2 linked regions of the Oryzias latipes genome follow. The protein of the gene in region 1 purifies or fractionates together with the protein of each later gene. This does not show direct contact. Links are inferred from orthologs where the notes say so. Each region holds a gene or a part of one and is shown on either strand. Other genes may lie near its edges.

Region 1 (3,651 bases):
TATCACCAAATGGAGATTTTTAGATGCGGGACCGGCGTATTTAGAATAAAGTCAGGAGTGAGGCCTCAGCTCGGCGTGTGGGTTCGTACCATGGTGCTGCGGTTGGGTCCAGGCCTCTCGCCCTCCAGCCGCGTGGGCATCTTCAGGCCGCCGTACTTCTTCCAGTAGGTCCAGCATGAGGCGCACAGGCGGCACTGCATGTTGGGGGGGCCCCAGGAGTACCACTGGTAAGAGCTGCTCGCTACAAACACACAAATAAACAGAAATTTCATCGAAAGGCTTCAATTCCATCCTAAAATATCAACAGAGCACTGATATGAATTTTCATTAGTTATCAGGTTTTGTTCAAAGAAATGTAAAAAAACGATAAATTGGTTCTGAAAAGAGCCAAACGGACAACACTAGAAGAAAAACGACAGATGCTTTTGCATGAAGGAGCGAAAACTTTAATCATTTTTCAGTCAATTAAATACAACCGTTAAAATAATCGAGCGCTTCAGGGCTGATGATCTCATTTTGTCAGAGCGCCGCACCGTTGATGATCGGAGTGACTCACTGTAGCAGCTTTCACAGGCTCTGCCCAGGCCGGGGATCTGACCCGAGCCCGGCGGTCCCGGGACGCCTCCAGCCACCGCTCCGTTCAGAAGAGCCGGCTTGACGTTGTTACTCAGCTGGTTTGGGTTGGGCTTGTTGCTGGAGGGAGCCGAGCACAAGAGACCACATCAGACCAGAAGAGACGAGCACATCCGAGAAGTTCAACCGAGAACGGAAACATGTTATGGGCTACCAACGATCTTTCCAACACGTTAGGAGGAGAAATGGCAGATATTTCCTATTTATTTCATAGTAGAACTCTATAAAAGGAGAAAAACCATTAGAAAATAAAAATAAACAGATGACTGAAAAGAAACTGACTAAAACAGGGAAACGGATGCAATCGTGTGAATTAAATAAAAACAGTATTTTTAGCATTTAGCATTGGTTTGTAATTGGAATTCAATCACACCAGCTCTTCACAATACTGCAGAAACGACCCCCCTCCCCCACCAAAGGTAAAGATTTCAAAAAGCTATTTAGCTTTGAAATCTTTGCTTTAAAACACAGTTGTGATAATAATTCTGATAGCCCAGAAACACTGTATGGAGTTTAGTGAGCCTTTGCCTGTTTGCTCCTTTTTTCCATTTTGTTTTCTCCTCGTCTTTGCGGATTTATGTGTTTTTTTTGTGTCAATTTTTGTGATTTTTGCATTGAAAAATTACAACATTTACTGTTTGGAGTTGATTGTGGAACTATTGTGTAATATGATGAAAAATAAAGAGAAGGAAAAAAAGATGCTGGGGTTGTTGTAAAATAAAAAAATATGATAAGAATAAATTTAAGTTAAAAAAAGGCATAAAAAGGCCCAGTACTAATAAAAACCAATGAAACTAATAGGTAAAAAAAAAATTTCAGTATGAGCTACATGTGTTTCCAAAAAGGGGTTTCATTATAGAACCCAAAATATTTTTCAACCAGTACATTTCTGTTTATTTCACCATACAATTAAAATCAAAATCCACACAAAGTGTGAAATAACCTTGAATAGATGCTCGTATAATCATAATTAATGTTGTGTATCTGCAAAAAGCACAATTAAATGTTTCTTTTGTTCGGCTGGAAAATCCAAAGATTTAATATCCTTAAAAATTGACATTTTTTTCTCCATTTTGCTCTAAATGAAATGGCATGTTTTTCCAGTGGCTGCATCTCTAGAGCAGATTGTGAAGCTTTGCTACTTTATGATTAAAAAAAAAAAAACATTTCTGCGTCTCAAACATTAGAAATAAAACAGGTCCGACAAGAAAACCTTTAATTGCGACAAACTCACTAGTTGGGGATGTAGACTTGCTTCAGCTTGCTCTCTGCTTCTGCTGCTTTTAGCCGTTTCTGGAACAGTTTGGAGGGAAAAAAAGAAATCAAAAGGATTTTAGTTTGTTTTTCTGCTTTAGTGCAAAAGAAGAACTGTCTGATCATCAACATGTGAATTTTTTAAAGGATGACCAGCAGCTGCAGCAAAGGAGCTTTAATACAAAGTAGAAACTACAGTCACCTGCTGCACGTATCTGTCTGTGGTCTTCCACATGTAGTAATACTCGATTATACTCGTCAGGGATTTCCAGGGCAACTACAGGAAGATAGAAACAAATATAGTTAAACAAACAAAAATAAAATGTTATTTAAATCTTAAAAATGTAACCAAATGGGACATTTTGACCCATCAAATGTGCTCTTATAGGTTTTTTTCCTCTTTTTTTTTGCTGGAGGAGTTTGATTGGAAGCTGCTGCCCTCAGTACTCGCCCCACCCATTCTGTGGTTTTCTTTTCTGGATTGAACAGACCCAAGAATGAACAGCACTGTCAGGATCTGGCCACCAGGGGGCAGACTGCCTCATGATGTGACATAACCACATTGACAATGTTCCACTTAGTTCAGCGTGGCTGTCCCCTGAGCATTTATTCAGGTACTCAAACGCGAAAGAGGACAGCATGGCTACTGTTTTTTTTTGTGCTGAATTGAACCAGAACGTCTATATTTTGTATTTTTTCCTTTAATATTCCATCATGTTTGACACTTACAAAATCTTGCTGAATATCTGTGAAGTCTTTGCCATATTTCTCCAGCGCCTCCTCAAACAGATTTGCCTCCGAGGCGCTCCACTCCTCCATCTCGTCCCTGCAGAGGACGGGTCCCCCCTGAGGCACCAGCGCGGCGATGGCCCGGGTCATGTCGTAGCCGGCGGCATGGAGGGTGTCCATGGCGTGAAACTATTGACGAGAGGGAAAAAGCTGCTTCAGCTTGTTGAAGCTGCTAAACTCCAGCAACATTCATGCAAAAATGCAGCTCTTCTGGCAGATTTTGGAGTCCATCTTTGGGCTTAAAGGCTTCTCATCCATCTTTTATAACTAAGGTTTAGATCCAGGCCGGCACAGACTAGCAGTAGTCCTTTAGGGCCCACGATTGTATACTATGAAGTACAGCCCCAAAACAATCACAGCTTTCGAGTTTCGTCTCACCAAAGTGATGTCTCTGGAAGCTGCAGCGGCGCTCATGTGGAGGCTCGGCTGCCGCACCGAGCTGCTGCAGTCCAACGCTCGGGCGAACGTACCTACTGAGCTGCAAGACAAAGATAACAAGTTACACGTTCGTCACTACGGGAAGGAAGAACATCTTAAATCCGATTTGATTCCAAAACCCAGATCAACGGTTCACAGATGAAACCACAACTCTAACTAGTTACTGTTTTATGTTTGAATGGTTGTTCTATGTATGTCTTTGTTCTAGATGTGTGACAAGGAGATCAGAATCAACAAAACATAAACACTCAAAGATGTTGAAAGAAATCTTTTTGTCTCACTCAAAGATTTTTCTGTCAACTTCCTGGTTAACTCCAGTCGCAAACAAAGCAAACGTCAGTGTTGATTTGGGTCATTTCACAACAAATGTTGAAAATGTTCGCCACAGATTTTCCTCTTCAAACTTTTGCCGACTACAGTAAAAGTAGATCGATGACAAGAAGATAGTAAATGAAGACACAGCAAAGCCTCAATAAAATGACGCAAAAACACTCAATCTAAACCGACAGTGTTTCCAACAGACTAGACTTTTTTTAT
Region 2 (3,651 bases), on another chromosome or scaffold:
GTGTTAAAGCGAGTTACCATGCTGACATTAACCAGCTCTACTGGAGTGATGAAGAAGTGACTGTCCGCATGTCTGAAGTTCTGGGCCGCTGTCAAATAGAATATGCAGAAGACCTGATTGAATCGGTCCAAGACTATTCCAGCGGTGGACCAGACCGCTTCTATTTTCTGGAGGTACCGTTAGGATTACTTTTTGTACCATAATTCAAGAACTTGCTGTTCAGCTTCTTTATAGGTGACTGGTTGTATGATTGTGTACGCAGGTGAAAATGGAACCAATGTTTAATGTTTGTTTCCCTCACAGGCCTACAATGCAAGGTCTAAAAGCTTTGAGGATCCTCCAAATCACGCCCGGTCTGCAGTTCATAAAGGAAAAGGAAAGGGCAAAGGAAAAGGTTGGTTTGAACTCTGACATGTAGAAATGAATCACCTCTGAGATCACTGAAACCTGGTCTCTATCCCATCAGGAAAAGGCAAAGGGAAGGCTTCACAGGAACAGCAGGACTCCAACGTTGGCCCACAGATGCCTAAAGTTCCAAAATATCGCACCCTTGATGTTTTCTCTGGCTGTGGGGGCCTGTCCGAGGGTTTCCATCAAGCCGGTAATAAATCCATGTCAGAATGTTTGGGGGTCTGGAATGTCTTTTTTTTTCGTTTTCTGATCAATTATGCAAAAAATTAGCTTTGTATTTAAGTAAGCAGTGAATCTTTTGGAAAATGGAGGACTTCATGTGTGGAATAAAACACACAGTTGTTTATTTTGCAGTGCATTGCTCAGACTCAATCTGCTGCTTTCAGGCATCTCGGAGTCACTGTGGGCCATCGAGATGTGGGAGCCGGCAGCTCAGGCCTTCAGGCTCAACAACCCCGGCACCACAGTCTTCACAGAGGACTGCAACGTCCTGCTGAAGCTGGTCATGTCCGGGGAGAAGACCAATTCTCTGGGTCAGAAGCTGCCGCAGAAGGGAGACGTGGAGATGCTTTGTGGGGGGCCTCCATGTCAAGGCTTCAGTGGAATGAATCGCTTCAACTCTCGCACTTACTCCAAGTTCAAGAACTCGCTTGTGGTTTCCTATCTGAGGTATTTCTTGTCAGGATGTTGTTGCTGTTTTACAGTTGAACTGACTGTTAAAATGATTTTATTTGCCCCCCCCCCCCCCCCCCCCCCCTAGTTACTGTGATTACTACAGACCCAAGTTCTTCTTGCTGGAGAATGTGAGGAACTTTGTTTCCTTCAAGAACTCCATGGTTCTGAAGCTGACTCTGCGCTGCCTTGTGCGGATGGGCTACCAGTGTACCTTTGGTGTTCTTCAGGTGAGACTGACCTTCAGACTGCGGCCTAGACTGTTCCTACGGGTCTTCTGCATGTGTGAAGCTCTTATACTGCACCTAAGCACGAGTCCCTGAGGTGACGTTTGTTCTGCTCCTCAGGCGGGTCAGTATGGCGTTGCCCAAACACGCCGCAGAGCTATCATCCTGGCTGCTGCTCCAGGAGAGAAGCTGCCTCGCTACCCTGAACCGCTGCACGTGTTTGCGCCCAGAGCCTGCTCTCTGAGCGTGGTGGTGGATGAAAAGAGATACGTCAGTAATGTTACCCGGTAAAGAAAACCCTATAAAATAAAACAGTGAAGCTGTCTGCTTCACTGACTTCAGATGAAAGAAAAATATGTCTAACACTTCTGGGATTATTTTTGTTTTTAACATCAGAGGTAACGGGGGCATCTACAGAACCATCACAGTCAGAGACAGCATGTCCGACCTCCCCGAGATTCGCAATGGTGCATCTGCCCTGGAGATTTCCTACAACGGGGAGCCTCAGTCTTGGTTTCAGAGACAGATCAGAGGCACGCAGTATCAGCCCATTCTCAGGGATCATATCTGCAAGGTAAGTTTACCTGATGCTCTTCAAAAATACCTAAATGATGCATAACGTGTGTGTAGATGTACCAAAGAGCATCTGTCTGTCTGTTTGAAGGACATGAGCGCTCTGGTTGAGGGTCGGATGCGTCACATTCCCTTGGCTCCAGGCTCTGATTGGAGAGATCTGCCCAACATTGAGGTTCGCCTCAAAGATGGCACCATGACCAAGAAGCTGCGCTACACCCACACTGACAAGAAGAATGGCCGCAGCAGCACCGGCGCCCTCAGAGGCGTCTGTACTTGTGCCGGAGGTGAGCAGCACTTTTTTCAGGATGTCCTGAAATCATCTCCAGTGTGACTCTGACCCGCTCTGTGTGTCGTTTTAGGGAAGCCTTGTGATCCCGCAGACCGGCAGTTCAACACTCTGATCCCCTGGTGTCTGCCCCACACCGGGAACCGCCACAACCACTGGGCCGGGCTTTATGGCAGACTGGAGTGGGATGGGTTTTTCAGCACGACTGTCACCAACCCCGAACCCATGGGCAAGCAGGTGCAGAGACTTTGCTTTTCTGTATTACTTTAAAAAGAGCAATCATAAGCAGAAGAGTGATGATCAGAGTAATCAAAAATTAGAATATAAAAGTAGTCCATTATTATCAAAGTGTATTTAAGAATATCGGGCTGTGTTGTTAGAAGTTAGAATTTGATCAGCTGACTGGACTCTTCAAGCTGGAGATCAGCATTTAATCTTTTGGTTTTAACTCGTTGATATTCAGGGCCGCGTTCTGCACCCTGAGCAGCACCGAGTGGTCAGTGTCAGGGAATGTGCTCGCTCTCAAGGATTTCCTGACACCTACCGCTTCTTTGGAAACATCCTGGACAAACACAGACAGGTGAAGTCTTTCAGTCATTGGATTGACACCATTTCAAGACGTTTTCTTTCTTTGCTTTGTCATTTACTTTTATTGTTTTTATGTTTTATGTTCTTCAGGTTGGAAATGCCGTTCCACCTCCGCTCTCCAGAGCTATTGGGCTGGAGATTAAGAAGTGTGTCATTGAGAGAATGAAGGAAGAAGAAACAACAGGTGCCTGATTTTGGGTCAATGCTAACTTCTCTGATTTTTCTTTAAAAAAGAGAAATATGAACATGTTTTCTTTATTTTTTGTCTGCAGATGTCATCAAACAAGAAAAGATGGAAGTCTCTGATTAGTTCATTTCCTGTTCAAGCACAATAAGATCTAGAAGTTCTGGGTTTTGGGATTGTTTTATTTTTTACTATTTGCTGTCTGTGAATTGACCACTATGGACATGTAATGTAGTACCCATCCCGTGTTTTAACTGCTTTTAATCATGTTCCTCGATGTTTAATGTGCAACAAATTGTATGTAGTTTTTATATGTTAAAATTCAAATAAAGCTCTTATGAAATTTTATTTTAGACTGAAGTAAATGGATATTTCACTCCGCAACCTGTTATCTATAGCATTAACTCCCATTCATGTATGCAGGTCAAATCCAAAATGTCCTTTTTTAATCTAAGTCCAGATTTAATGTTAATGCTTTGAAACAGACAAGGTTCTAAAGAACTGAAAGTGTCCCTGGATTTTTTCCTGTTTAGAATTGGCTAAAGTTTTTACAAATTTCCCTACTATGCTTTGAAATTTGTTTATTGCAAGCAATTCAGACTAAAAGTATGTAGATTAAGTTTAGTCATTGGAAAATGAAAAATGCACACATTCTTTTAACCCTTGTGCTATCCTAGGCACTTTAACATTGGGAGTGGGGTCATCTA

What was found.
Region 2: the proteins of mta1 (region 1) and dnmt1 purify together in Homo sapiens (affinity purification with western blotting; 4 studies listed by BioGRID and IntAct, with this or other methods). This does not show direct contact. The link is inferred for Oryzias latipes from reciprocal best matches to the Homo sapiens genes MTA1 and DNMT1.

The regions. Positions count from the first base shown.
Region 1 is NC_019880.2:4,663,085-4,666,735, forward strand, and holds part of mta1 (metastasis-associated protein MTA1), read right to left. Parts: intron 3,155-3,651; coding exon 3,055-3,154; intron 2,806-3,054; coding exon 2,617-2,805; intron 2,165-2,616; coding exon 2,090-2,164; intron 1,927-2,089; coding exon 1,868-1,926; intron 694-1,867; coding exon 557-693; intron 242-556; coding exon 90-241; intron 1-89. UniProt on the Homo sapiens protein: Transcriptional coregulator which can act as both a transcriptional corepressor and coactivator. Acts as a component of the histone deacetylase NuRD complex which participates in the remodeling of chromatin.
Region 2 is NC_019866.2:8,451,644-8,455,294, forward strand, and holds the end of dnmt1 (DNA (cytosine-5)-methyltransferase 1), read left to right. Parts: coding exon 1-173; intron 174-303; coding exon 304-394; intron 395-466; coding exon 467-601; intron 602-797; coding exon 798-1,080; intron 1,081-1,171; coding exon 1,172-1,313; intron 1,314-1,430; coding exon 1,431-1,597; intron 1,598-1,706; coding exon 1,707-1,884; intron 1,885-1,974; coding exon 1,975-2,170; intron 2,171-2,245; coding exon 2,246-2,409; intron 2,410-2,635; coding exon 2,636-2,752; intron 2,753-2,850; coding exon 2,851-2,944; intron 2,945-3,032; coding exon 3,033-3,070; 3' UTR 3,071-3,292; downstream 3,293-3,651. UniProt on the Homo sapiens protein: Methylates CpG residues. Preferentially methylates hemimethylated DNA. Associates with DNA replication sites in S phase maintaining the methylation pattern in the newly synthesized strand, that is essential for epigenetic inheritance.